Diceros bicornis minor: one gene and its partners. The protein of the gene in region 3 interacts with the protein of the main gene of each other region in a pairwise test. Links are inferred from orthologs where the notes say so. Each region holds a gene or a part of one and is shown on either strand. Other genes may lie near its edges. The genes, in order: NIF3L1, EAF2, BEND7 and EIF1AD.

The links.
Region 1: the proteins of BEND7 (region 3) and NIF3L1 interact in binary tests that used the Homo sapiens proteins (3 or more experiments, as listed by UniProt). The two-hybrid records come from large-scale screens. The link is inferred for Diceros bicornis minor from reciprocal best matches to the Homo sapiens genes BEND7 and NIF3L1.
Region 2: the proteins of BEND7 (region 3) and EAF2 interact in binary tests that used the Homo sapiens proteins (3 or more experiments, as listed by UniProt). The two-hybrid records come from large-scale screens. The link is inferred for Diceros bicornis minor from reciprocal best matches to the Homo sapiens genes BEND7 and EAF2.
Region 4: the proteins of BEND7 (region 3) and EIF1AD interact in binary tests that used the Homo sapiens proteins (3 or more experiments, as listed by UniProt). The two-hybrid records come from large-scale screens. The link is inferred for Diceros bicornis minor from reciprocal best matches to the Homo sapiens genes BEND7 and EIF1AD.

Annotation. Positions count from the first base shown.
Region 1 is NC_080749.1:78,809,843-78,817,069, forward strand, and holds the start of NIF3L1 (NIF3-like protein 1), read left to right. Parts: upstream 1-4,209; 5' UTR 4,210-4,430; coding exon 4,431-4,435; intron 4,436-6,083; coding exon 6,084-6,544; intron 6,545-7,227. Other genes in the region: PPIL3 (peptidyl-prolyl cis-trans isomerase-like 3), read right to left, coding at 1,374-1,448, 3,135-3,137. UniProt on the Homo sapiens protein: May function as a transcriptional corepressor through its interaction with COPS2, negatively regulating the expression of genes involved in neuronal differentiation.
Region 2 is NC_080754.1:22,796,228-22,803,278, reverse strand, and holds the start of EAF2 (ELL-associated factor 2), read right to left. Parts: upstream 3,001-7,051; 5' UTR 2,943-3,000; coding exon 2,834-2,942; intron 1-2,833. UniProt on the Homo sapiens protein: Acts as a transcriptional transactivator of TCEA1 elongation activity. Acts as a transcriptional transactivator of ELL and ELL2 elongation activities. Potent inducer of apoptosis in prostatic and non-prostatic cell lines.
Region 3 is NC_080775.1:14,274,249-14,282,220, reverse strand, and holds the start of BEND7 (BEN domain-containing protein 7), read left to right. Parts: upstream 1-4,961; 5' UTR 4,962-5,062; coding exon of another isoform or gene 5,063-5,180; coding exon 5,181-5,241; exon of another isoform or gene 5,242-5,256; intron 5,257-7,487; coding exon 7,488-7,571; intron 7,572-7,972. Other genes in the region: PRPF18 (pre-mRNA-splicing factor 18), read right to left, coding at 5,063-5,182.
Region 4 is NC_080770.1:7,291,115-7,298,843, reverse strand, and holds the start of EIF1AD (probable RNA-binding protein EIF1AD), read right to left. Parts: upstream 3,003-7,729; 5' UTR 2,761-3,002; intron 2,180-2,760; exon of another isoform or gene 2,161-2,179; 5' UTR 2,024-2,160; coding exon 1,937-2,023; intron 1,792-1,936; coding exon 1,683-1,791; intron 1,572-1,682; coding exon 1,463-1,571; intron 1,298-1,462; coding exon 1,247-1,297; intron 417-1,246; coding exon 272-416; 3' UTR 1-271. Other genes in the region: BANF1 (barrier-to-autointegration factor), read left to right, coding at 4,191-4,313, 4,551-4,697.

The DNA of each region.
Region 1 (7,227 bases), on a different chromosome or scaffold from region 3:
AAAACACTTTAATGGCTTCCGTTTGTTCTTGGAATAAAATACAAAATCCTCAGCAGGCCCAACAAGCTGTTCATGACCTGGGCCACCTCTGCATCTCAGATGATGATAACCTATTCCCTGTTGCTCACTATGGTAACCCCATCAGCCTCCTGAAAAGTCATCCAAAAGAGGCAGGCTTCCCTACCTGGAGGACTTTGTACCTGCTCTCTTCACACCTGCAGTGTTCTTTTTATATCTTTCCATTGGAGATGCCTTCATTACCTTTCACACTAAGTTTAAGTATCACTTGCTTAACTTTGGCCTGCCCTCACCTTCTTTTAAATAATTCCTTTCCCATTATTCTCAATCTTAACACTTTATTTCCTTCAAGACAATATCACCCTCTAGAATTACTTTTTTTCTAGAATGCATTTTTCCCCTGCCTATTTTCCCAGCCAGAATATTAACTCCAAGAAGCCAATGCCGACAGTGTCCAAACTCCACAATGTCTCTTGTTCATCATTGTATTCCCAAACGCTAGCAAGACAGCCTTTTATAAATGAATGCTGAGGGAATGCCTATATATAGCCAACTCTTCTTCCTTCTATCCTTGTCATTTAAACAAGTGAAATGACGTATGGAACAGTTCTCTTACCTAATTTCTAATGATTATTTACGTTTCCTGAGGAAAATGAGCCAAAAGGAAAAGATACCAGGCACTCTATACCTGGAGAAAAATTATTTCTCCTTTTCTTTCTTTTTTTTTTTTGTGAGGAAGATCAGTCCTGAGCTACCATCCGATGCCAATCCTCCTCTTTGTGCTGAGGAAGACTGGCCCTGGGCTAACACCTGTGCCCATCTTCCTCTACTTTATATGGGATGCTGCCACAGCATGGCCTGACAAGCAGTGCATCGGTGCGCGCCCGGGATCTGAACCCAGGTCGCCAGCAGCAGAGCTTGCACACTTAACCACTACACCACAGGGCCAGCCCGCTAACAATGGTTTTATAGAAAAATTTTTTGGGGGGGCCGGCCCCATGGCTCAGTAGTTAAGTTCGGTGCGCTCCGCTTCAGTGGCCCAGGTTCAGTTCCTGGGCGTGGACCTACACCACTCGTTGGTGGCCATGCTGTGGCAGCGACCCACATACAAAATAGAAGAAGACTGGCACAGATGTTAGCTCAGGGCCAATACTCCCCAAGCAAAAAGAGGAAGATTGGCAACAGATGTTAGCTCAGAGTGAATCTTCCTGAGCAAAAAAAAAAAAAAAAAGAAAGAAAGAAAGAAAGAAAAGTTTTTTTTTGGATGTCGTTATTTTCTTAAGTTAGATGATTCAATTTCAAAATGGTTATCCTGTTGCATTAACTCACTTTTTTATGTACATAATGGTACTCACTTCACATGTTTTAGGTGTCCTTTCACAGAAGACTTCTATTTTAATATCACCTACATCTGTATGCAGTGTCACCGACTAAAAAGGAGAGAGGATGTGAGAACAAAAGAAATTTCTTCAGGTGACCTTATGCACTATATGATTTCCCTAACTAGATATTAAAGATGACAAACTGAATAAAAGCAGAGAGGAAGAAATACGGTTTCAGAGATGAACCACCCACATAGCAGCTCTGAGAGACAAGATGTATTTCTTCTTCTTCTTTTTTTATTTTTTTGAGGAAGATCAGCCCTGAGCTACCATCCATGCCAATCCTTTTTTTTTTTTTTTGCTGAGGAAGACTGGCCCTGAGCTAACATCTATTGCCAATCCTCCTCCTTTTTTTTTTTTTTTCCCTTTTTCTCCCCAAAGCCCCAGTAGATAGTTGTACGTCATAGTTGCACATCCTTCTAGAAGCTGTATGTGGGACGCCACCTCAGCATGGCTGGACAAGCGGCGCGTCGGTGCTCGCCTGGATCCGAACCCAGGCCGCCAGTAGTGGAGCGTGTGCAATTAACCGATAAGCCACGGGGCCAGCCCCAGATGTATTTCTTCAAAATTTATATCAGCAATAGAAAAAAACTCCATAAGATAAATATAAATACTAAGGTAAAATGATATCTAGTCTAAAAACTTGGGAGCAAGTATTATGATGGAAATAATTAATTTAAGTTTGAATTTTTCATCAATAAAAATAAAAATTCTTATGTTAGTATTATTGATTAAATGGCAATTCACTTACATCATTAATATTTATTGAAAAATAATAAGGAAATGATTTTTCAAAACAGTTTTCACCATTTCCCTTAATGTAATTTAATTGTGAGAGACAGGGTTAAAAACAATTCCTTTCTCAACTAAAGACAACAGACATAAAAAGTGTCAGTGCTTCTAGATCCTAAATATGCAGAGGTAACCATGGTACTCTTTCTTGCCTGCTTTTTGTTTATCTGTTGTTTTGGTAGCTTACCTATTCTTTTTGTTACCCCATTCCAGACAGGGGGAAAACTATTCTGAGGCTTCCGTTTTCATTTCTTCTTACAGTAGGATCTAGCAGTCAGAGAGTATGGCCAGGCAGAGGACAGGAGAGTGTGTGTGTTGGGGGGCGGTGGGCAGGGCATTATTCTCATTGCTTTTCTTCTACTTCAAGCTCTAGTTGCCCACCTTAGTCCAGAGCAAAAGGATTCAATTAAAATTATCACACCTGGCTACACTCTTCTGCTCTTCCAACTCCCCCTTTCCATCTCTATCTATCTTGCAGTCAGTCTTTTTCCATAAAAGATAAATTCTGTATGGTTTAAGTGAAAATAAAAAATTTAAAAGTAATTTTGCTTATTTCTGTTTTGCTTAGAATCATTTTACACTGTATGCTTCTACAGCTTATCATTTTTCCATCTTGCCATTGAAATTTCCATGCAGTTTTATTTCCCTTGGCTGACCTTCTAAAAATTACTTATACTGAAAGACATTCATAAGAATTCCATAAAACTGGGCCGGCCCAGTGGCTTAGTGGTTGGGTGCGCGTGCTCTGCTGCTGGCGGCCCGGGGTGGGATCCCGGGTGCGCACCGATGCACCGCTTCTCCGGCCATGCTGAGGCCGCGTCCCATATGCAGCAACTAGACGGATGTGCCGCTATGACATACAACTATCTACTGGGGCTTTGGGGAGAAAAAAATAAATAAAAAATCTTTAAAAAAAAAAAAAAAGAATTCCATAAAACTTACCATTTTTCTTCTTGATGGTTTCAGGAAGCACTGTTATGTAATTTTTCAGTCTTATCGAGAGAAGTTCGAAAATGAGTCTCTATTCCCAAAAGAAAAAAAATTAAGTTCACCTTCTCTGAACTCACACATGCTCATCTTGACTGCATATTTAAAAGAAAAAGTCTTGAGAGCACCCCCCAAGTAATAAAAATACGGCTATGCAAGTGATGAGGAGCTCCTACCAGACTCAAGCCCCTCAATCGCCTACTTCTGCTCACTCTCCTTCAGGATCCTCCTGCAATCCCCGACAAGCCAGGGACATCCCCGCCCTGGGGTCTGCGCGCTGGGCGTCCCCGCCGCCCGGAACGCTGCCGCTCGAACACCTCTACGGCTGCCTTCCTCACCGCCAAGCCTGCCCAAGAGTCAGGTCTCCCTGGCCCGACAACTCGATTCAAAACTGCCTCCACCCTAGTTCCTGCCCTGTGTCCTTTTCCCACAGCACTTACACTAATACAACACACGCTCGATTAAGTCTGTCCTTTCAACAACGCCTCCCCGCCCAGAATGCTCACTCAAGCAGCCCAAGAACTCACACACACAGCGCTCAGCACGGGTCTGAATAAGCGAATGAAAGAATGAGCGACGTTACCGCGTACTTACTTAACCACTTCGGTTAGCACAGTTGTTAAAAACTTAAAACGACGCCCGCACGGGTCTGTAGACTCGAAATTAGTTTCTTCGGGTCACCGGAAGTCGAGTACGGGACCCACTAGAGAGAACGCCGCTCACCTGCTCGCCTCCTTCTCCCTCCCCGCTCCTCCTTATCTCAAAACAAAAGGACTAGACCTAGAGAGACAATGTCATTTATCCGCACCTGGAACACTTTCGACAGTGAAAGGGAACTCTTCTAATAATTACATGAGGACAAGAACCGTAACCTGGAACTATTCTGGGCAACCTTCAGAAGCGTCGTGGGCTCAGACGTAAAACGGGAAGAGCACTTCCGGCCGCTTGTCCCTCAGTTTATTCCCACACGCCAGGAGGTTCCGCGCGGGACCGGACGTGACGCACGAGAAGCGCGCCCGGGGCCGGTGAGTCGGGTGATCTTGGTTCCCGCGTGGGTGTCCGAGGCCGTCGAGGCCGGCGCGATTCATGCGGGCTGTGGCTGTCAGAGAGGTGCTGCAGCGGAGACGGGGGCGGAAAACTGGCTCCCCGCGCGGGAGCGCAGGGCACCTGTGGGGCAGCGGCCCTGCCTCGGGCTTACCTGTGCCACCGGGGCTCTTCGTTGTCCTGGAAGAGGCCTGAAGGGGGACTGAAATGAGGTAGATGAGGGGAGAGGGTGCAGTTTGCAGGCTGTAAAAGGGGCCCCACTAATGTTACTTAACGTTAACAGTCAGTGCTGGCTCTAGGCCAGGCATTGTTTCCGGCTGCCCGGATACTCTCGCGACAGCGCCGTGGGCTGGGTACTCTCCATCCTTCAGCGGCGGAAACCGCCGAGGTTAAGTGATGAGTTGCGCAGCTGTGGCCTTGGGAGGCAGTCTGGTTTTGGAGTCGGTGCTCTTACCCACCATGCTATGCCGCCTCCCGTTGTTGTTAATTGTGGCTTCAAGCTGCGCCGCGTCCCAGTTTCCTAATCTGTGAAGTGGTGCGTGTTCTCTTCTTGCTAGGGGCTCTTTCGGGTAGGACAGTAGATAACTCAGATTCTCTAGTGGGCGTGGCGGCCCACTAGAGCCTCACTTTGGCGCTTGCCATATTTAGAAGAGTCTGGAGAGTGGAGTAGTGTCAGGACGGGGAATCTGGAGAGTGGAAGTGGTATAAGGACCATTAGAAGACCTCTCAAGACCCCAGGCTCGAGTGGGTTTGGAGGCTCCACGTCACAAATCATATATTGAATAAGTACATCTCGTATTAACTATTTTGGCTGTAGAACTGTTGGAAAAAATTTGCTTTTGAAATCATTGGGCTATGAGTATTTCATTAAATTTACAATTGGCTGTGCTGTCTTGCTAATTATTGTGCATACTGTGAAATGCTTTTCTTCAAAAACAGAAATCTTCATGGATACTAAATGGGAGAGTGGTGTTGACAGTGCTGTCTTTTGGATTGGATGTAGATGTCTGAAAGGCTTGCAGACCATGTGGGCAAAGTGCCCTACACCGCTGCCTCTCCCACCTCTTGAGCCTGGCCTTCCTGTAACGGTTGGTTCCGGGGCAGCAGCCTTGCTGCCCATTGGTGACATGACCCACCTATGCATCCCGTGACTCTGGCTGCTGATAAAGCACTTAACTTTTGAAAAATATTTTATTGTTTTTTTGGTAAAACATTTTTTAATGGCAATATATACCACCCTAACTCCAAATTCTGCTGAGGTGGGGGAGGGGGAGTGTCAGTCTGTTTAGCAAGCGTTTAGTGCTGGCCTGTGTTGCTGACACTGAGATGTATAAAAGCTAGTTCCTGTTCTCTGGTAGCTTTAGCAGACTGGGGGAGACAGAGGAGCAGAAATATAACATTCTGAGAATACCAGGGCAGAGGGCAGTGAGGTGGGGAGCCACTGAAAAGGAAGGTTTGTCAAGAAAAGCTTTATTTAGGAAGTTGAGGGGGACTTGGAAAGAAGGGTAGTATTTAAAGAAATGGAGAAGAGAGGAGGGTAGTTGAAGCAAGGGTGGGGCTGGGGAGGAGGGAATGAACACTTGTGTGTTATGTACCAGGTTTGTGCTAGGTGACTTACACATATTAATCCATTTGCTCCGCTGATGGCCTGTGAGGTTATGGTGTCTCCCTTTTGTAGATGAGAAAACAAGCTCAGAGAGATTAAATGACTTAGCTAAGATTCCACCTGCTAGTAAGTGGCAGAGCCAGTATTTGAACCCATGTATGTGTGACTACAGCGCTTTTGCCTGTATGCTTTGCTGCCTCAAAGGTCCGGGCCTAAGGTGTACAGGTGTACCACTGTCTGTGTTTTGACTCCAGATACTCAGCTTTACCTGATTCCTGTATGTTGTCATCTTGTGTACGCCTGGTCCCCACGGCAGTTCGGCTGGTCGGTTCCCTGGTCTGCAGTTCTTCCCGTTCCTTCATGGATTTGAAGGCTCTCCTTTCCTCCTTGAATGACTTTGCATCCCTATCATTTGCTGAGAGTTGGGACAATGTTGGATTACTGGTGGAACCAAGCCCACCACACACTGTAAACACACTCCTCCTGACCAATGACTTGACCGAGGAAGTGATGGAGGAGGCGCTGCAGAAGAAGGCAGATCTCATTCTCTCTTACCACCCACCTATCTTCAGACCCCTGAAGCGCGTGACCTGGAAAACCTGGAAGGAGCGCCTGGTGATCCGGGCTCTGGAGAACAGAGTCGGGATTTACTCTCCTCACACAGCCTATGATGCTGCACCCCAGGGAGTCAACACCTGGTTGGCTAAAGGGCTCGGTGAGAAGCCTCTTGTTCTTTCATGTTTAATATTTTTCTTACAGGGCCAGCCCGGTGGCGCAAGCAGTTAAGTGTGCGCGGTCCGCTGTGGCGGCCCGGGGTTCACAGGTTTGGATCCTGGGTGCGCACCAACACACTGCTTGTTAAACCATGCTGTGGCAGCGTCCCATATAAAGTAGAGGAAGATGGCCACAGATGTTAGCTCAGGGCTAATCTTCCTCAAGAAAAAAGGGGAGGATTGGCATCAGATGTTAGCTAGGGCTAGTCCTCCTCACAAAAAAAAAAAAAAAAAAATTTTCCCTACAAATGCTTTAAAATTTTAGAATGTCTTTCCTATAGAGTTTGAACTGCTTTAGGGGTGGGGACCATTATTCTATTTTTATATATTTAAGAATAATGTTGCTGAAATCTGGCGATTAAATTGCATTTGAAAAGTGAGTTTTTTATCCTTAATGAATAAGGAGAGTGTGGGAAATCCTCATTCTGGACTGAGCTTCGTGGGTCCTCACTCATGTGGCGCAGTGCCTAGCACCCAGGCACTCCAGAAATGCTTGTTCAATTGAGTTGAAAGCTCAGACCCCTTCAGAATATGCTTCATAATGTCAGTCAAGTAGACATCAGAGTTTATTGAATGCTTACTTATGCGCAGCACAATGAGGGAATTCAGCATATGTCTTTTAGCT
Region 2 (7,051 bases), on a different chromosome or scaffold from region 3:
AGTGGCTCCACTTGACACCTCAGACAGCCTTCCTGTACTCACTGCCCATGAGTTCATCATTTCATGACAGCAAAAAGTGGTGTCATTTACAAACTTAAGAATTTCAACATTTATTCCTTTATCTGCATATAAATTGTAAAACTAGCACTAGCCCAAATCGAAAATTTATTCTAGTGGGTCCTGTTACTCAAACTCTTCTACCCAGTGAAACATTTGTTGCTAAGCATTTAGCTTATCATTTATAGAACATCCCATGTCTTCCCTACCACATGCTAGCTATCTTTTTGACAGGTTTTATCGCCAAGCCCTGATAAATGCTTTTTGGAAGTCTAAGTAAATTACATTCATTGGCACTCCTCATATACACATGAATATAACCCTTCAAGAATAATGGTAACTACTATTTATTCTCTACCATGCACCAAATACTGTGCTAGGTTGTTTCTGCTATGTTATTTAATCCTTAAAAACTTTGAAATGTTGATATTATTATTATCATTTTACATATAAGAAAACTGAGGTTGAGAGCTTAGAGAATGTTTCCAAAGTTACACTACATATATAGGTGGTGGAGGCCAGAATTCACATTCAGGTTTTTTCAAAGCCTCAGCATATTGGACAGTCTTTACCTCTATACATAAAGATAGAATTTTACTTCCTTGCAGATTACATTGACTTCAGTGTTTGTTATAAATTAGGTCCATCTGCTCTGTATGAAAGTCAGATTTCCTATTCTATCGTTTCCATCCCTCACTCTGAGTCCTTAAGAGTGAGGATCATATGGGAAATGAACCTATCCTCAAGGATAATGACTAGTATTATTTAAATAAATTTAGAAATATTCTGCCTGCTTCAACAATAAGAATAAAACTAAGGCCTGAAAACCTTTCTAATGTCTTCCACAGGACTAAGAGTGTATTCAAACCTCTGGGTTTATTGTGGTTGTTATTACTGCTGTTGTTTTGCTTATTTTTGTTTATTTTCATTCTTGTAGTTGGATCATCTGATTCTCTGACTCTGAAGACACAATTCCAGCATTTTGAGAACTTTTATAAATGAAAGGTTCTGAAGCACCTGCCAAGTGTTTTTCAAAGGCTTTTTTTAATTCACTTAATTTGGGGTTCATGCCCTTAAAAAGAGAATATATACCTGAGTTATATGAAAATATATTCTTGAGCAAATTTTTTTTTTTTTGGTGGGGAAGATTGCCCCTGAGCTAACACCTGTGCCAATCTCCCTCTATTTTGTATGTGGGACGCTGCCACAGCATGGCTTGATGAGCAGTGTGTAGGTCCACGTCCGGGATCCAAACTGGCGAACCCTGGGTCGCCGAAGTGGGGTACGCGAACTTAACCACTACGCAACTGGGTCGGCCTCTGAGAAATTTTTATAATCTTAAAGTTTGTAACTTGAAAAATTAATACTAAAACTACTGCATACCTGAGAAAGAAGAGGAAAGGAGAGAGGAGATATTATTTGAGAGAAAGGCATGGAGAAACCAGATAAGAACTATATCATACTTTTGGAAAATGGGACTGAAGGAGAGAAACTGCACAGCCAGCACTAGCTGTCTCACTGTGGGGATCCTTGGATGAGAGTTAGATAAAGAAGAATAAACCAGAGACACTGTTGAAGATCTTCTGTTTGCAAATACCTCCCTCATTTATTCTACCAATTGGATATTAATTTTGCTTAATAAAACCCTTTTATAAAATGTAAATATATCCTTGGAAAGTTCAACCTATTGGTTCTTCATACCTTTACTGTGAGTTACTATCATTAGATTATCTAAAACTTAAGTAAACTTTTGGAGAATGTGAGTTTTAATTGGGTGTTTTGATGGAAGCGTGGAACACTTCCGAATAAAAACCATAGAGATCTGTGGACAGTCTAAGGGCAGAATGACTGAGAAAGGTGGAATGATGAGACACAAAGGAATGGCAGGGCTGGGGAAAGGAAGTGAAAAACTACCTACTTCACAATTTTGCCACAGAAAAATAAGAGGTTATGATTCAATGACCTCAGAGTTTCCTTTCCGCTCTATAATTCTATGAGGGCTATTATGCAAAGAAGGAATGTTTTACATGCCAAATCATAATATGCTACATTTTCCTTCCTGGAATCTACACCATCCAACTATTAAAGCAAAAGAGCTCCCTTTTCCACCTCAACAACACAAAAAAGAATAATTTATCAAAACTAGTCCCAGAGGACAACCAAGAGAAAATCAAAAGAAATCATAGGGAGGTTAAGTATCTTTTTAATGAAGAAATTAAAGACACACCCTCCAACACTTTGATAATCAGTATTTGATAAGTGACTGAATGAAATCAGGGGTCCAAAAGAGATACAGATCAGAATGGTTCAGAATCTCACCCCAGGAACACACTAAATAAGAACCTCATCAGCCAGAGACAGAAAAAGTGAAGAAGGGAGAGAATATTTCCCCACCAGCCCCAGGCATTCTCTGCCCCCTGCATAATAGTTGGGTTCTTTGCTCTCTTCCATTTGCCACATTATTTTCCTTTCCACCTCTGCATCATCCACCAGTCACGCCTGTCTCCACAGTCACCCATGCAGACCCTGTCCACAAAGTTTCCTTTTCTGCCTGTTGGTCTCACTTGAATCTCTCTGCCCAGGGTTTACCCACACCTGCTCGACTCCGGCTCCTTCCACTGACCTTCTAGGACCTCACGGAGGGCAGCGGATCGCGCTGGCACCCCATTCTCCAGCAGAGGAAGGAGGTCTGTGGGAACACAGCTCAGAGAGGTCTGTGCCTTCACACCCCCATACCCAGAGCTCCCCCTCTTTCCCCGGGGTCATCCTCACTCACAGCGCACAGTGTGGAAGGCGCAGCGCGGATACTTCTCGAAACTCTCGCCTAACTTGAGAACCCGCTCGCGACTGTCAATGCGCGGGCGTCCCCCTGTTCCATTCATCATTATGCTCGGGCTCCGACTTGGCCTCCACTCGCGCCGCTCGCTACCATCTGCCACCTCAGCCTGAACCAGCTGCACTTGTTGCGGCCCGCCCAGCCACCACGGACTCCGCCCCCCGCCCGACGCGCGCGGCCCCACCGGGCGCTTCTCGCGTGCGATTGGTTGCCTGGCTAGTGGCGCCCCGCCCCTTGGCTCCGAGGATCGTGGTCCCGCCTCCAGGCCCATTCCCGCGTTGCGACGCACGCCGTCCCGGGAAGCCGCGCAAGGGAGGTGGGTGGTGGGAGCGGGGTGCTTTGGTGGAGGAACGCCGAGCGAGCATGAGGTGACCGTCCGAAGTTGGCGGCTGGGGAAGGAGAGGGCCCCGGGATAGCGGCAGGCCGGCACCCCAAGGTTTCTGGGCCAACTGACCCGGCACGTAGGGGCTCTTAACGGGAGAATCGGCGTGCTCCACGCCCTTTCTGTGGAGATCTGGTGTGGAAACTGAGGCCCGGGGAGGGGCGGAGTCTGGGCACAAGGCCTGGCGTCTTGCCCAAGGCCTGGTAGCGCCAGAGCTGGGTCTAGAATGCCGAGTAAAAGACCCCGCGGCCTCGGAGCCTCGGTCCTTGGACCTGACTGGAGGCGACGCCGTTACCTCAGCAATCGTTTTCTGACCTTCTGTCCCAGCGGAAGTTCCCGGTGGTGTCAGGACCGGGACAGGGGACCGGGAGGGAGAGGAAAAAATGATTCGGAGTTAGGAACTGCAGATGTTTAGGATCAGTTGCAAGTCGATTGCATCGGGTTGCTTCTTTTATTTATTTCCTTCACAGTGATCCGCGGCGGCGGTAACGGCGGTGATCCGTGGAGGCCGGGAAGACGAGGTTCCCAGAGGATCGAGCTCGTGCTCTGGCAACAGGGTAATAGCTTTAATAGTTGAAAACTAATTGTCTTTTTTCTCTGTCAAAAGTTCGTGAGTTCAATGGTAAAGAGGAGAGAAGTGCTGTATTAGAGGAGAAGCGCCCATGAGAAAGTTTACAAATCGTTGCCATATCAGGTGGCGGTCTTTCAGGGTAGTTATGTGATCAGACTCTACTCCTTCACTGACCTTCTGCCTTAGCCAGATTTGTCGGTTTATCGTTCCAGGCGGGTAGATGGATGTGTCTCCCGCAACCTCTCTGCTTGTCTTAATTCTGCTCTTTTAAGGGGTACTCTGTTTCATGTGGTAGTTAAGCGCTCAGCTTCTGGAGCCAGAATTTTTGGACTTGAACCTCAGCTTCATACTGTATAGTGTGACTTGTGCAAACCAAAGTTAAGTATGCTCGTCATTAAAACTGGGGGAAAAATAATAGTACTTATACCTGAGAGTTGGTGAGAGGGTTAAATGAGTTAATACATGAAAGCGTTTAAAACAGTTCATGGCATATAGTAAAAGCTTTCCAAATGGTTATTATTGAGGCTTAACTCTGCTCTCATGCAACATTTTAGGACCATCCGTGGTGGCTGCCTTCTCTTCTAAATCTTGAATTATTCTAGGAGGTAGGAATTGCTATTTTGTTTACTTTACAGCTAAGAAAACTCGTTCAGGGATGCCCAGTCCACCAACTCTGTGGTTTGTATTCTTATTGTCTGTGTCATCTATTTGGCACGTAACGCTTTTTATATAATTATTTTACATATATGTATATATGTGTGTGTGTATACTTTTCTTTCCCAACCAGAACATGAGCAGGGCATCTGTCCTATATAAAATCTTTGTGACGCTTGCATCTAACATAGTGCCCTACACACATGTGGTGATAATGACAATATTTCAGTGATGTTTCATTATGTTAGCCAGAGAGCAAGAACAGTGTTTCAAGTCGATTTTACCTTAAAAAGGCTTCCAATCAGAAATCTGAGGTTTCCATTTTGTGACAAGGAGAAAAGCAGAGGGTCAGGAAATTGAGTTTTGGAATGCTCAAAGTTTGTGCAATTATTCATTCTTCCAACATGTATTTATTAAGTACCTACCACAGGCCAGGCACTAGTCTAGCCTCTGGGAATGTAGTAGTGAACCAGAGAGATAAGAAGACAACCAAGGATGGTATGAATTCTGCCCTTGTGAAGCTTACTTTCTAGTATGAATTTTCTCTAAACATATATTAAAATGAATTCTGTTGTACTAGCCCAGAAATAAACAAATAGATTAATGAACTAAATAGATTCTAAAAATATGCCCAAGTGACATTTCAGATTGCTTCTATTATATCTCTTCATGAGAAATTACCTTAGGAATTTCTGACAGCTATGTGCATTTGTTCTTTTTTCACCAATCTGTAACCTCATCTAACTTGAAAAAATTTAGATTTCTTACACCATTCACAAAAATAACTTACATGTGTATTGAAGATATAAATAAAGATATAAGTAAATGAAGGTAAGTAAAACAAAACTATAAAAACACTAGAAAAAATTAGGAGAATATATATTAGCACTTAGGGTAGGGAGAACCTTTCTAAGCATGACACCAAAGGCAGAAGCCATAGAGGTAAAGATTGTTATACTTGACTATAAAAAATTTGTAAAACTATGGTAAAGCCACTATAATCAAACTTAAAAAATTATATGACAGACAAGGAGAAAGTGTTTATAGCCAATATAAAGGATAAAGAGTTCATATCCCTGTATGAATAGATTAAAGCTTCTGTGAAAGAATAAGACAAGCTGATAGAAAAATTGTTAAGAGATATGAATAGAAAATATATGAAAGAAGAAATGGCCAGGGAACATGAAATGTGCCTAACCTACTAATAATCAAAGAAATACAAATTAAAACAAGATGATACCATTTTTCATCTAGTGGATTAGCAAAAATGTAGAAGAACATATTATGTATTAGTAAACTTATAGTAAAATGAGCACCCTCATACATTGTTGGTGGAAGTATAAATTAGAACACCCATTTTAGAGAAAAATTTGGTATCATCTAATCAAAATTTTAAAGATATATCCTGTGACCAAGCCATCCAACTTCAAGGGAAATTCACTCTACCAGTACTAGCATGAGTGCCTAAACACATGTACATTGATATTCATTGCAGCATTGCTTGTGATAGTGTACACTGTGAATGACTTCCAGTAGACAGGATGTTTAAATACATTTTGATACACTCTTAACAAAGGAAGCATAGCAGAATGCAGCCATTCGAAAGAATGAGATAACTCTCTATGTAGTCTCTTGGAAAGTTATATGCCTACTATGTGCCAAGAGTTGTGCTGGGCTTTCTTTAAAATATTTCCAGAAAACTTGTTTTTTAATGATTTATATTTTACCTAATAAGGGATGATTTTTGGATGCATGTATTAGGCCAACTCGTCAATATAAAGGATGGGCTGTGGTGCCAGTTATGAAGAATAATAGATAAAAAAGTGAGTTAGAAGTAGGTCACTTGGGAATATGTTTTGTGTTTTTTACTGTTTTACATGGGAGGGAATATAATGAACATTGTAATGAAAACCACAGACTTTGAAGTCAGACTGATCTGAATTTGATTACTGACTCTACCACATGCAGTTGGAACCAGAACAAGTTTGTCAACTTCTTCGAGCTTTATTTTTCTTACCTGTAAAATGGAGATGATTATAGGCTCTACCTCATAGTCCTGTTAGGATTAAATAAGATAATGCATGTAGAAGCACTTAGCACAGTGCTTAGTTCATAGTAAACACTTAATGTATGTTAGCTTTTATTAATTATAGGTAAAGATTATGCTTTTTTTAAATGATGACATTTTGAGCTTTGAATGCCTTAAATTAAAACTTTTTATAAAGAAAAGTTTTAGAAACAAACTGAATCAGGATGTGGATTTTTTTTTATTTTAATATAATTGATTTTATTCACTATGCTGTTTATAAGCAAGCTTTGGTTATCTTATAATTACATAACATTTCTGAGTTTCGTGTTGGAAATCCCCAAGACCAACCCCAGTTTCAGTGATTTGCTAGAAGGGCTCACAGTTCTCAGGATATGTAGTCATTCACAGCTGTGATTTATTACAGTGAAAGAATACATAGCAAAATCAGCAAGGGAAAAGGCACATGGGGCAAAAGCCAGAGGAAAAGAGATGCAGACTTCCAAGAGTCCTCTCCCAGTGGGA
Region 3 (7,972 bases):
CATGAATGAATCTTGTAGACATAATGTTGAGCAAAAGAAGCCTGACACAAAAGAGTACACACTGTATGATTCCATTTACATGAAGTGATATAGTGATAGAGGCAAAACCAAGCTATGGTGATAGAGGCTAGAACTGTGGTTTCCTTGGGGGGCTATCTGCTGGGAGGGACCACAGGGAAGCCTGCTGGTGGGCTGGAAATGCTCTGTATCTTAATCTGGAGGGAGGAGGGTTACATGGATGTCTACACAAGTAAAAGAAATTGAGGTGTAAACTTAAGATTGTGTTCTTTACCGTATAAGTTAGATCTTAAAAAAGAACATTAAAAACTTATTTTAAAGAAACAACAGAAAGGTAGTAAGGTTAATGTATCATATTTAAGATAGTCAGGAAACCAGTGTGCCATTCAAGTTTCACTAAAAAAGGGTCTTAGCAAAACTGATTTTCCTCATTTGCAAAACTGGAATATTAATCCTCACATAGCAGTTAAGAGAATTAGATAATGTATAAATATCCCTGCGATCCTATAAGAGAAGACTCATTTAAATATAAGGCAATATTATTTGTGGAACACTCCAAGATCACATTTTCACTTAAGTAATCTCTTATAAATACCACCTCCTTTGCTTTAAATTACAATTGCTAAAACCCATAAAGTAAATGAAAGTGGAAACTTGAGTTAGGCCAGCAACAAATTGATAAATTGGAGCTAAAGTCGGGCTGCCTATTCTCTCCATGACCCTTCTGACCGGCGATTGTTGTAAAATTGAGAACTTAATATTTATACTTACTAAATCTTCTTGAAGGATTCCAGAATCTACTCAGTGACAGGATTTTCAATTCCAGAAACTCCAATCAAAGATTTATGAACAGCTCCAAGCCCAATAATACCATCCTGCTTATCTCCTTCTTTTTGAGGGTTATTAATAAAACAATTAAAGAATCATCAGGTTGCAGGCATATCTATGTATATAACATGATTCAAACTATATAGTTCCTCTAAATCTGAGCTGTCTGATATGGTAGCCACTAGCCACTTATGGCTATCGAGCACTTGAAACTTGGCTAATCTGAATTGATTTGTCCTCTAAGTGTAAAACACACACCATTTTCAAAACTTCACACACAAAAAAGAATGTAAAATAGCTCATTAATATTTTTATATTGATTACATGTCAAAATGATAATATTTTTAATATAGTACTGGGTTAAATAAGATATATACGACTAAAATGAATTTAACCTGTTTCTTTTTACTTTCTTTAAATGTAGCTAATAAAAACTTTAAATTCCATACATGGCTTGCATTATATTTATATGGGACAGCAGGGCTCTAAACGAAGATGGAAATGTCCATAACGTTATTCTTCTCAGAACAGTTTTCAGAAAGAGAGTTTTAAGAATTAGGGTTATAAACACACAGATAAGGAAAATAGATTAGTGGTTACCAGAGGACAAGGTGGTGGGGGGAGGGTGAAAGGGGTAAAGGGGCACATGTGTATGGTGATGGATAAAAACTGGGCCATTGGTGGTGAACACGATGCAGTCTATACAGAAACTGAAATATAGTGATGTACACCTGAAATTTACACAATGTTGTAAGCCAATATGACTCCAATAAAATAATTTAAAAAAAAAATGCATTAGTGTTAAACATTTTCTGGCCAAATTACCTTTGTCAAAGATTAAAATCTATGTTTAATCTGTATAATCAACTGAATTTTAGAATGGTCATATGACGTTCGGGGTACATGAAGTCACAGAATACTTGACGGGTTTCCCTTGAGTTTTTTTTTTTTTTTTTTTTGCTGAGGAAGGCCGGCTCTGAGCTAACATCTATTGCCGATCCTTCTCCTTTTTTTTTCCCCCCAAAGCCCCAGTAGATAGTTGTATGTCATAGTTGCACATCCTTCTAGTTGCTGTATGTGGGATGCGGCCTCAGCACGGCCGGAGAAGCGGTGCGTCAGTGCGCACCCGGGATCCGAACCCGGGCCACCAGTAGCGGAGCGCTCCCACTTAAGGGCTAAGCCATGGAGCTGGACCCTCCCCTGAGTTTTGATACTATGTAAACCTGCAGTTCTAAAACCTTCAGCGGCTTTCAACTATAGAGGCAGAGAAATGACCTTAGCAGATCTCCCAGAGGACTTTCCAGGACACAACACAAAAGCTGCATTCAATTAACCAAAAACAATACTGCTGTGACTGAATCGTGTCCCCTCAAAACTCAGGTTGATGCCCCAACCCCCAATGTGATGGCCATTAGAGGTGGGGACTTCGGGAGGTACTTAGGGTTAGATGAGGTCATGAGGATGGGGCACTGATGATGGGATTAGTGTCCTCATAAGAAAAGGAATAGACCAGAGCTCTCTTTTTCTCCATCATGTGAGGACACTGTCAGAAGCCAGCCAGGAACTGACCCTGTCAGACCTTTACCTGGCACTTCTAGCCTTCAGAACTAAGAGAAAATAAATTTCTATTGTGTAAACCACCTGGTCTATTGTATTTTGTTATGGCAGTTCAAGCAACTAATACTGATACTTACCACTTAAAGCAATCTCTTTTTTATTAAATATCATAATTAATCTTTACTTAATGCTGATTATGAGAATACACATTTTTGTTATATAAAGGCATGGTGATTTGCACAATGTGGAGAATAAATAAATATTTGTTGATTTTCTCTATGTTAATAGGACAGCCCTGACCTATGCCCTCTGTGGACCAATTCGCTCATAGACCATCTTTGCTGCGCCAGGACAAAGGGTCAAGGAAAATAATTATTATTTAAAAACATTATTACTTTCAAATATTTTCTTCTTAACTATATCAAAAATATTTTCTTCAGTAAATGGAATTCATATTCCCACTTGAACTGAAAATGCTAAGTTGTTAATATCTCCCCTAGGGATCTGCTTCTTGGTATGGCACCTTCAACGATTTCAGCATAGTTTAAGCATAATAAAATCTCATTTTATGCTCCAAGGTATGAACGATGCTAAATGTTCCTCAATTGGTATAGTACTAGCCTTGTGGCTTTTGGAATAACATTTTAAAAGGCATTACAAAATGAAAAAAAGGGTCCCAGCCCCGGGAACAAAATATTAAGCTTTGCTTTTTTAAAAACATTCAAAACATCTTCGGGTTTTTAACTGCTTGGTTTTAAAGAAAGAAAGAGGAAAAATAATGGAAGAAAACCAAACAGGGTAGTGATTTAATCCCTGTTATCACGTTAATCCCTTCTGCCACCTTTTAGAGTGCCAAGGGGTCTAAGAGCACCAAGAAATCTATACAAAATTTTGTTTGTTCTATACGTATTTTACGGGAATAGGGTCCAGAGCTTTGAACATAATCTTTGACCAAAAAGATTTAAGAAACCCTTGTTTAAGGGTCTGCATTAGCGAAATGAATGAACAGTTCTCCCTCCAACCTGGCCAGGTATACCCAGCCTCCTCACTTTCTGCAGCCCACCTAAGACCTCAGGATGCATACCAGGCCCTGCTTCCACTATTTGGTGGTTACCTGGTTCCTTGATTTTGTTTCTGGGTGTGTGTACGTTTATGCTAGTTGCCTCCAACTTCCCTCTTCCTCTGTACCTCCCTGTTAAATAAGAGTGGACCCTGAGTGGCTGTCTCATTTGAGTGACACGCACTGTGTAACATCACATTTATCAACATACCCTTTTCCCTTAATCCTCTCACTCTTTTGGGGCCACCTGAATTTGCCACAGTGCTGGACGGGCTGTCCGTATTTTGGTCTAGAGATGATCAGTCTGGCGGCGGTTGTTTTAAGCAGATCACACTCCTGTACTGCCCTGCCTAGGTGGTGTCAAATTCTCTTCCATTCCACACTCTCAAGATGTTGTGAGAAAGAAATGGTGTGCTCTTAGCTCCCTAGAAAAGAATATTATATAAAACTAATAAAGCCTTCCTGTTTATGCCAATTATTTTGGCATTACTACATCAAGTGGCAGAGTCCCCTGCACCTGCCTTATTTTTTCCGTAAAAGTCAGCAGAGCGATCAAGCACCCTCTGACGTCGCACCCCTCACCCTTTGCACCCTCTCCAAGCCCCACATTCCAAGTTCTCTCCTTGAATATAACTCCGGATCTTCCTACAACCCTCCTCGTGTTTGGGTATAGCAGCTCACTCTTCTGTACTCTTCTCACCAGGAAATTCTAACATCCCTTCGTTTCCTTGCAGAGCGCAGATGGGTAAGCTGTATTTTTTTTCCCCTAAAACTTGCCTAAAACCAGTGAGTCCGGCCCGTCGACACCCCGAATCTTAAGGCAAGGAGTGGGCTGGCCAGGAGAGTCCCCGACACCCAGGACTATTTATAACAAGATCGGCCCCAGGAAGCGGCGGGGAGACGCAGGCGAGCTCAGGGCCGAGAGCCGGGCCCCCCGGGAAGCAGCGCCCCGAGTCCCCGGCCCCCGCGGCGCCAGCGGCAGGACCCCCGCGCCGGGCAGGGCCCGGGGTCCCCAGGGGGCAGGGCGGCCGGCCGGGCCGAGGGCGCTGCGCCGCGGCCTCCGGCTCGTCCTCGGGGCGCCGCGCGGCCAGGCCGGTGGGTGGCGGCGGCCCGGGCCCCCGGGGACGGCGGCGGCCGCGCTCCGCCAGCAGGTGGCCCCGGGGTCCCGGCGGCGCCGCCCCCTCGCGGCGCCCCTCCTCCCGCGGGGGCGGTCAGCGCCCCGACCCGGCTCGCACCCCGCCGCCGCCGCCGCCGCCCTCGGCCCGCCCGCCCGCCCGCCGCGTCCCCGGGGCCGCGCTCGCCGCCGCCGCCGCCGCGTCCGGAGCTGCGCCCAGGGCGCCGGCAGCCCGGCCCGCCGCGCCCTCCCCGCCCCCCACTCGCTCCCCAACGGAAAGTTCGGCTCCGGCTGCGTCTTCAAAGAAGCCGGGCATGAGCGGGGGTCGGGGGGCGCGCTGAGGGCGCGGGAGGCGGCCACCAGGAGGGGGCCGCTTCTCCCGGGAGGGCGCCTCCTGCCGAGCCCCGCGCGCCGCAGCCCCCGAGGGGCTTCGAGGTGGTTTTTCCCTTTCCTCCGCCTCCCCCCTGCGGATTCCAGACACGGACCTTGGTCCTGGCGCTCCCGCTGCCGGGTGACAAGAGCCAGCGCCGCCGCCGCCGCCTCGGCCGCCGCTCGCTCCGGCCGCCCCCGCCGCAGCCCCGGCCGCCCGCTCCTGCCCGCACCATGGAGTTCTCGGAGAGGAAGCGAAGCAGGAAATCGCAGAGCTTCAAACTGGTGAGCCGAGGTAAGCGGCGCCCGGGGCCGGGCCGGCCGGGCGGGGGGCGTGCGGCCGGCGGGGAAGGACTTGGCGCCGCGTAAACATCCCCGCGCCCGGCCGCGCGCCCCCGCCGGGGGTCTGGCTTCCTTCCCGAGGGGGGCTGCGGCCGCACACGCGGGCGGCGGGGAAAGTTGTGCGGGGGGAGAGGCAGGATGTTATTCCGCGTAAACAAGTCGGAGGGCACATCAGGAAATTAGCAAACAATGACACTTGGGGAGCCGAGAGGCTTCTTCGGCATTCCGCTCCTGTAGCTAGGTTGGGGGGTGGGGGAGGTCTGCCTTTCCATCAGGCCGTGCGGACACGAATCCCGACCAATGGTTGTGGGGTTTTATTTTCCCCCAAAGAGAAGGAAAAAAGGTGGTGGTTCTTTTAAGAACGAGAAAGAAGCTCGTTAGGTGTACAAACCTAAATGAGAATTGTTGACATCCAGCATCTTTTCTAGATACGTTAGTTGGGTTGGAAAGCTGTTGTAGAACAGATCACTTATCAGCCAGACAAGTATCATTAAGACAAAAAAAAACCCGCCGGTTACTGACGATTTAACAGGTGTACACCACAGTCTTTGGGGCTTGGGTTTATTTTCTCAGGGGAGGGGCAAGTTGAATAGTCTTGTCCGTGTTCAGTTACTTGTTAGAGTCTTTATTTTCCTGATTTGACTTTTTAAAAAAGGATGAGCACTTAAGAGCAGGCGTAAAAATAATGTCTATCAAAATGCATTGTGTCACCTTAAATTGGAGGGAGGTGACTTTTTTTCATCGTCATGTCACAAGTCTTAATATTGAGGTTAGAACCTGTTTAAATATCTTCTTTGAATCAACTTGAGGTCAAAACCCAACCAGAGAAGCTATCCTCTTTTCCTCTGTTTTATCTAGCATTGGCATCAGAGTAGAGAGCAAAGCGATTGTTTTAACAACCTGGAGAAGTCACATGTAAGCTGATGAAAATTAGAGAGCAATTGCAAGTAATAGAGCTTTTCAAGATAAGCTGGGCTAACGATGATGTAGCTTCAATATGGCTTGCTTTTGGTTAGTCTGAAAATAGTCTGATTGTAGACATTTTGAAGATCCACTCATATCTGTTTCCCCTGATTTCGTTTGGATACTTTTTAATGAAAGAGGCCTGAAATAGTTTTATGTATTCAAAATATTTGGCTCCTCCCTTTATGTACATTTTTTCTAGTAGTGTTGATTATAGTCATTTGTACTTTAAAAGTCTCTCCATATGTGACTAGCCTGTGGGTCTATCTGATTCATTCAGCAATGTAGGCTGCTTTCTTATTTATCACCTCAGGGCACTTACTACTTTATCTTAAAAGTGAGAGTCGTTTTGTAGACCTCATCCTGTGAGGTCCAAGGCCAAAAAAAAGGGAAGAGCTGTTAAGGTTTTCTTACCTAGATGATCCTACTTTTTAGAAATAGACAATTGCCCAAGTACAGTCGCCTCTATAGAGAAGCTTGGGAAATATTGTATTTTAAAGTTTGACTGACATAGCAATTTTTTTCTTTTTCCTTTTTTCTTTTTTTTTTTAAATTATGAGTCTGCTTCTTCTCTCTGCTCTACAGGTGCATTTTTAGAAAATAAATTATTGTATATTAAAGTGCAGTAGCTGACTGCAAAAGATTCACTTGTGGGAAAGATGAGAATCTTGCTTTCTTATCCAAATTAGACTATTTTTGAAATAACAAATCAGTATTTTCATATGTGTTTGCCTGCAAGCTGCTTAAAGGCTGGAATTTTTCTGGGTAAACTGAGAAAACTGAGAGCACTGAGTAACTCTAAAGCATACTATTGATGTACTCATGAAAATGGGCTGTAGAGATAAATTTGGAATCCTCCCCTGGCCTATGATTGGGCAAGATTTTTCTTTTCCTTATAAACAGACTTGTCATTTGAAAGAAAAGAAGCCTAGTAATTGGCATCTTTGGGTCAAATTTACTGTAAAAACTGTGTGACCAAGCAAAGCTGTTTTCTAAAGTTAAAGTAATATCTCAAGTTTGTGTACGTCTTCAGAGTAAGCAAAGTTTTAGGAGTTATTAGTGACTACAAATTCTGTGATTAACCGAAAATTCTTGAAAATTCTATTTATAAATTGAAAGTTGTATTTATAAATTATAGATTATACATACTATATATAATGAGACTCTAGTCTTTATTGCTTATTCATATCTCGCAGGTCATTAGAATTCTAATTTTTGGTTGTTTTCTCATCCTAGATTATCACCATGAGGTATATAAGAGCTCAGAATTCAGCAACGATGTTAATGGGGAGGCCAAAGAGACACAACCCATTTTTTTAGGTAGGTTCTTGTGTCAATTAATTTCTCAGCAAAACAGTGTGGCTATTTGCAATTAGGGGGAAAAAAATGATTGGGCCAGAATGGGAAATGTCTGCCATTGCTAAATGTATGACATTCTTTTCAAGACCTTTTATTTTACAGATTGCCAATATATCCCTTATTAACATTGCTAAAAGTTGTAATTTCAGACATAAATGTTTATTAGTGTCTACACACAGTGCTAATTATCACTCACTCCCAGAGCCAGATGCTGACTGTGCAGTTTTGACGCTCAGCGCTCACCCCATTTACATTGCATATTCGCTGGCATGCTTCACTGGCAATAGTTTGTGTAATTGGGGTATTACATCTTTGACATCTGGATAACAGAAATTCAATTTCCAGGAAGCCGCTATTTGTTT
Region 4 (7,729 bases), on a different chromosome or scaffold from region 3:
TGCCCATTCAGCCCACCTGCTCGTGAGGCCTCCACCAAGGAGCAGGTTTCAACTTCATCACAAGTCCCTCTTCCCTCCAGAAAGGGACTCGGACACCAGCACAAGTCACCACCCACCAGGGGTTTAATTCTCCTGGGTCAGAAGGTCAGTTCAGAGAGGGGCTCTGCCTTGTCCCCACCCAGTGGGGAAGACCTGCAGAGCACCCTGGGAATGTCCATGCTCAGAGGAGCCAAAGAGTCTCTGAGCAAGAGGAAAAGTGGGTTCTGGGGTCTCAGGCCGCCTCCTCCTCTTCGCTTTCCTCCTCACTCTCATGATACTGTCTGCGGTTGGTGTTAACAAAGAGGTCGGAATCGTCTTCAGAGCTGGACTCTTCTCCTGATGACTGCGGCTCAGCTGAGAGTTCTGGCTGAGTCTGTCTACATGGGGAAAAAAGAAAGAGTTAGCCCAATGCCTTCTGGGGAAACCAGATCTGCAATAAAGGAGGCCCACAAAAAGGAGGACCACATGGCCAAGCAGCCAGGGCTCCGCAAATCAGACAAAGAGAGAGGCAGAGCAAAAACAGCCTAAAGACTACCTCCCAACCCCCCTCAAAAGTTTGCTAGACCCACAGGTTTTAATAACAACCATTCTACCACCACTGACTCTCAGTGGACCCACATTATATACCACGTACTATACTAAGCAATTTCATAAACACTGATTCCTTTAACCCTCACAAAGCTCCCCCCAACCCTCTTTTTTTTTCAGTGAGGAAGACCGGCCCTGAGCTACCATCTGTTGCCAATCTTTCTGTTTTTGCTTGAGGAAGATCGTCCCTGAGCTAACATCTGTGCCAGTCTTCCTCTATTTTGTATATGGGACACCACAGCATGGTTTGATGAGCAGTGTGTAGGTCTGCGCCCAGGATCCAAACCTGTGAACCCGGGGCTGCTGAAGGGGAGCGCGTGAACTTAACCACTATGCCACTGGGCCGGCCCCAAAGCTCCCATTTTAAAGGTGATGAAATTGAGGCTTAAGAGATTAAGTAAGCTGCTTCAAGTCACTCAGTTATAAGTGGCAAAGCTAAGATTTTAACCCAGGGCCTCTGACTTTCAAGCCATGCTCATAACCATATATTATAGCACACGTTTAAGAGTTCTCACCAGGAACCCTATGTAGGGAGAAAGGAAAGCTCTATTTTTCCCTCAAGACACCAAGGCCTGAACCCCTATTTTCTGTCCTCCCTATCCCAAGGCTTGTTCCTCACCTGTTCCTGTTGTTGTTGTGTTTCTCAGCCACTTCAGAGAAGGCCTCAGGCCTGTGCCAAGAGAAGAGCCAGAGTCAAAAAGGAAAGAGAAATCTTTCAGCCAAAAGGCTGTTTCCAGCTGTCCCCGCCTGGGATGCCATGATCTTCCCTCCCCCAGTTCCACAGCTAGGAAGTCAATCCTCCCAGAAGCCAGAAAGACCAAGGGGCCTGCCCTACCAGAGCCCCTCCTTCTGCAGAGAGCGCACATGGTCCTTGCAGAGCACAAAGGAGATCTCAGCCTTCACCTTTTCTCCCTCTTCAATAGGGTCAACAATGAGAAAGTCCCCTGTCCACCAAGAGGAGAAAAGACAGTCAGTCCTGCTGGCAGTGGGGAAAGCCAAAGGCAACGAAAATGGTTCTGCCCGCCCCTCGCCCCCCCCAGAGCTGCCTCTCTCACCTCTCTTGATCCAGATGTTCTTGCGGTATTTGGAAGGCATGCTTACCAGGAAGCGCTGCCCCTGGGCTGTCTCCACTTCATGCAGATTGTTCCCTGGGGTCCTGAGTACCTGGTCCAGGAGAGACCAAGAACCAGTCAGGCTGATCAGCCAGCTTGAACACCCTCTGAGCTACAGTGCACCCTGCTCTCACCCCAGGGGCCCAATGGGAGTGGAGGAGTAGTGGGCAGAGCAGCCTGTGCCCAATGCCACTCACCCGCACGATCTGCTGCTGATCAGAGGGCACCATGTGCTCCCCCAGCACCTCCTTCACCACATGCTTCCTCTTGGTGGCCTGAGACATGCCGGGTCCTGTCCCAGGCAGGTGAGGGACGCAGAGACTGTCAACTCCTCCTTCTGAGTTTCTTGGACGGCAGGCTCAGAACCCAGAACTGTTTTGAAGATGAGGAGGAGCCTTTTACTGAGGAGTGACACAGCGTCCTGGTTAAGAATGTCGCCTCTGAAATCCAATTGCTTCGATTCAAACCCTATCTTGGCTATTCCTAGGTGTTCAACTTCCCTAGGCCTCAAAAAAAAAATAATAGCTAACGCAAAGCATTACTGTTAGGAGAAAATGACAAGAGAGCCCTTAGCATGGTGTACGACACATACAACAACTCATATTGTAAGTACTAGCATAATCATAAAACCTACGTGTTCTAGAGTAATAAATCATTCTGGTAACAGCTCGGGAAGGAGGATGAGATAAATCGCATCGTTCTCAGCACGCTTGTACATTACAGGCATAGCATAGCCACACAACACAGATGCTCAATCTCTCAACACATTACAGGTAGAGACCAGGCGGGAGACCATCGCGATAGTCCAAGCTAAGAATGAATTAACTGAAGGTCAGGGTGAGCCGGCTTGGTCTGCGGCATCTGCGATATTTGTGACTTGGCTACTGAGAAGACAAGCACTGGTACCACCAAGATCGATGGCTTCCAAACGAAACTCCGAAGTGTCACCTCTAGTTGCCCTCCCACCCCTCCTCCCTCCCTATCCCGCAGGAAAGACGCTCAGAGAGAGACCCACACTTACTCTCTGGCCCTCGTCTCCCACGAGTGCTGCCTGAACGACCCCGTTTCTCCAGGCTGGAGGCTAAGAGCGGTTCCTCCACGACACACTTGGCAGCTGAGCCAAGGAAGGCACAGAAAAGGGACTTGCCGGCGGTCACGACGGTGGTGTCGACTCGGACTCAGGTCTCCCGCACCTCCGCATCCCTCCAGACTCCTACAAGCCCGACGCCGACGACGACAACGCGAGTCAGCCTGCGTCGGTCCCTTCCGAGCACCGTACTTCCGGCGCTCTCGGAAGCTCTCGGCCACCCCCCCCCCCCCCCCGGCCCTTGTCCGTCTCTCTAACTCTTCCCCCCGCCAGGTCGGCCGAGGCTAAGTCCTAGAGTTCCGGGTGCCGGGCAGCGAGGAAATGAAGTTTTCTCCTCCGAGGCCTCCGCTCCCCGAGACCGGAAATGCTGTCCCAGAAGCGAGATCATAGAAAGGACCCCCGCTTCCCGCGAAGCGACCAGAAAGAAGCGCCTACTAAAGGCACCGTCGAGCTCCGGAGCGCCTCATCTCTATGGCTCTAGGCGGCTAGAAGTGCCCAATTTAGATTTTTTTTTTTTAAGGCGGCTCTTGAGGCGACCCGGAAGCGGAAGTGGAAGAAAGTTCTAGTGGGTTGAGGTAGCGGCGGGAGCAGCCGGTGGCGGGAGGAGCCGTTACGGGAACGGGAGCCGCGGGTGAGCACGAGCTGCTGAGCGGGGCCTGGGCTGGAGGCCAGAGGAGGCGCGGGGAAGAGAGGAGGGAAGGGGCCGCATGTGCCAGGCGGGACGGAAGATGCGCCCTCGCAGATAGCTTGGCCGCGATGCAGGGAGAGGGCGGGGCGGCGCGTGGGCGCGTAGGCGCGCGGAGGGGGCGGGGCGGCGCGCTGGGGGCGGAGCCAGCACGGCGGGCGGACGGGGCGGGAGCCCAGGCGGGCCGCGGGGCTGGAGGAGCGGGTGTGCGCGCTCCGGCTTGCGCCTGCGCCCTGTGAGCGCTGTGGGGCGTGTGGGGCAGACCGACCACTCGTTTGTTTTTCAGAGCAGGTAGCCGGTCCAGGTACAACCAGTGTCTTCTTTGCCCAGCCAAGGTCACAGAGGGAGTGACAGCCTCAGGGCGGCCCCTGGCTACTCACCCTGGGACTCTTCCCACTGCTCCGCGCGCGCCACCTGTTAGGGCAAGATAGATTTTCCTCTGGAGCAATACCAAAACCCAGTTCCCACGGGGAGTGGAAGAGATTTCTCTTGAACAGTGGGGAAAAGAATTTCCTTGGTTTCAGTTTTCTCATCCGTGAAATGAGGGGACTCGAGTAAAACCACCATCATGGCTGGTCCAGCTTCCTCTTAATGAGATTGCTCATGGGCTTTCTGGAGTGCCCAGGTTTTCAGCCCTAACCTACTTTTTCTTGGGATTCCCAGATTCAGCCTGATCAAGATGACAACTTCTCAAAAGCACCGAGACTTCGTGGCAGAACCCATGGGGGAAAAGCCAGTGGGGAGCTTGGCCGGGATTGGTGAAGTCCTGGGCAAGAAGCTGGAGGAAAGGGGCTTTGACAAGGTGTGGGGTGGTTGCGTGCACCTGGGGAGGGCTGGGGGCCGGGTAGGGGACAGCCTGCAATGTTTCTTGTAGTTTGGGAGTGAGGAATGTGAGTGTACTTGTTGGGGGTGTGTAAGCTGAAGACATAGGCAGAGCCTGCCCTGCCTTCCAGGCTCCTGTGCTTTGATGCCACACTAAGGGTCTTATTCTTAGTCCCACAGAGTACTTAATGGCATTTCCTCTTTGCCTGTTTTGTAGGCCTACGTGGTCCTTGGCCAGTTTCTGGTGCTAAAGAAAGATGAAGACCTCTTCCGGGAATGGCTGAAGGACACGTGCGGCGCCAACGCCAAGCAGTCCCGGGACTGCTTTGGGTGCCTGCGAGAGTGGTGCGACGCCTTCTTGTGATGCTCCCCACAGAGCCCCCAAACCCCAGCCCTAGCCTTGAGTCTGCAGAGTTTGCAGCCAAGTGGGGACTCCTCTCCCGTCCTCTACAAAGGAAAAGGTTGCTGTTGTGTCTCACCTCCGATGTACTCGAGTCTTTGGGGAGTTCTCTCCCTTCACCATTTCAACTTTTTTGGAAATCTTGCTGTTGCATGCACCTGCCTTCCCCTTCCCCTGCCAGTTTCATGTTGACAATTACCAGCTTTTCTGAGTGGATTCCTGGCCCCTATCCTCACTCCCACCCTCACCTGTGGTCTGTTTTATGCCATTTGGCTCGTTTTTTGGCAGAACAGTCACTGTCCTTACAGAGTTTTTTAAATCAATAAAGTCAGTGGCCTTCATGACTGGGCTTCGTGTGTGAACAGCAGGTGGGCTGGGAGTCGCCTTTTCACCAGAGACTGACCAGGTGTGCTGCCCTCCTTATCAGCGCAGGTTGAAAGTAGCAGCTTCCTTCCCAGCCTGGAGGGCAGCCGCCCCAGCCACGTGGGCCTCCAGCAGGTGCCTCGGAGTGTCTCAATCCCTTAGTGATGTGGGAGAGGGTGTGGGTTGATTCTTCCTGGGATCCATATGGGCTGTGGTGTTCCAGATGTCAGTGGAGTCAACAGCTGGGCTAGGCAGCACCTGGAGGAAAAGTCAGTGGGAGTGAGAGGTGGCAGGAAGAGGGTGGACCAGCTAAGAATGGGTAAGAGTTCCCCTGCCCATCCTCATGTGCTCTCCTGGCCTCTGGAGGAGTGGGCAGTGCTCTTGCTGGTTGTCCTGCTCTCGTAGGGAGGCAGAAAGAGCATGGGCATCACAGCTGGGGGCTCAAGTGAGTTACACTTTCATTTGGTACATTTTCATCCTGTTCTTTGTTGAACACTTAGTATGAACTAGGCTCACAACTAAGATCTTTGCAAACATTTTTTCTTCCACAATAAGAAAGTGTTTTCTCTTGTACAGGTGAGGAAGTGAGGGGCTCAGAGAGTCTAAGTGATTTGTCCATGGACTTACTGCTTAGGAAGTAGCCAGGCTGGCCCTCAGAAAGTAACTTGGAAGCCCATGTACCTGAGAGCCCTGTGTTCCTTAGTCCTGTCACTCTTCCTCTCTGAGCCTCAGTTTCCCCACTTGGGAAATGAGGTGGTGGTAAAGATCAGGTGAGATGCTAGCTGTGGGCACCCAGGCCTGCTTGGCTTTCATTCCTTCAGCAGAGCATCGTTGAGAATTTTCTTACAGAATTTTCTTTAGATGGCTTAAGTCTGCTGAGGAGAGAATGACAGATGTTAAATACAAAAATTGGACTAATATGAGAAAATTTTCATGATCTCAGAGTAGGGAAAAATTAAGAAGAAAAAGTTGATAGGGGCTGGCCCAGTGGAAGAGTGGTTGAGTTCACTTGCTCTGCCTCAGCGGCCAGGGGTTTGCGGGTTCAGATCCTGGGCACGGACCTACACGCCGCTCATCGAGCCGTGCTGTGGCAGTGTCCCACATGAAGTGGAGGAAAATGGGCACAGATGTTAGCTCAGGGACAATCTTCCTCGGCAAAAACTAAAAAGTTGATAAATTCAACTCCGTTAATAGAAACTTCGCTCGTCTAAAGATACCATAAAGAGAGCGAGGAGACTTGTCAACCCAGGGTGGGGAAGGAGCTTTGCAACACCCAAAGATAACAAAGGTCTGTAGCCAAGAAAAAGCAGACAACACAATAGGAAAGTGGGTAGAAGACCCACAAGGCAGCCAGAGTGGATACCCATATGGTGAATAAGCCTATGAAAAGGTGCTGGATTGTATTAGTAATCAGAAATGCAAATGAGATGCCATTATACACTCACTGGACTGGCAAAAATTTAGACAATGCCCTGTGCTGATGAGGGAACAGAGCAAGAGGAACTGAGAGCCAGGTGGTGGGAGTGTAGATTGGTATGAACACTTGGGAAAAAACATTCGGGCGTTTTCTAGTAAAAATGAAGATAAGACCCACCCTGTGACGCAGCAGTTCCACTCCGGGGGCTGTGACCGAGGACACGTACCTGCACCAGCACCCGTGTGAACGTTCGCAGCGGCCTTCTTATGTCAGCCTATCAATACCAGTGAAGAGGAACAGGTGAGAGCTGTGGACAACCGGTGAATCCCAACCTCAAGCGAATGAAACAAGCCATCACATCGTCTGATCCCCTTCATGTAAAGTTAACAAGTGAATTCTTGCTTGGAGATTGCTACACAGGTGGTAAAACTAGAAAAATGAAATGTTTATTGCAAAAGTCAAAGGTAAAGAAACAGAGTGGCAGTGATGACCTTTTGGGGGGAGGCCGGAGTGATGAGTGGTGGTACCACAGGCGTTGACTCCGTCTGTTAAAAGAGAACAGACGTGTTCTGTGTACTTTTTTGTCTGTTAGCTACATCGCAGAATGGTAGAAGGATAAAAGGGAAATCAAAAATAAAGACCTGGGGATACAGCAATTATGCGATTTGTCGGAAACTGATGCTTATCAGTAGGGATGAGGATTCAGTGCAAGGCTGGGTCTGCGAGGTGTGAGCGGCCCCCTGGAAGGGCATCAGGTGGCCAGAGCAGAGCCCAGCTTGTGTTACTGGCCACTTCCTGGGAGGGTGCCAGTCTGAAGCCCAGGCCGAGGTAGTAATGCAGGCTGTCCTGGGAGTTTTGGGCCATACTATTTCGGATGTTTTCCTGGATGGATCCAGCATCACCTCAGAGTCCCCTCAGCCTCGACCCTGTGCTGGGATGCTGTCACACAGGCCTTGTGTGCTTAGGCAGGGGCTCACCAGGGCCACAGCCTCCCCCCACCTCAGCCCTGACACTGCCAGATTGTTGCTGGCACCTCTGAGGTAATGGAGACTTCCTCCTCCTCCACGACACCCTTCCCATGGCTCCTGCCCACACTGGCTGCCCAGTTTTGCCTCTTGTGGCTCTGGCCCTGGGGCCCACCCAGCAGAATCCTGTGGGACACGCTGCCTGCTCTGCTTCCTCGACATGGGCTCTTCCCTGCCTCACCCACAGGCTT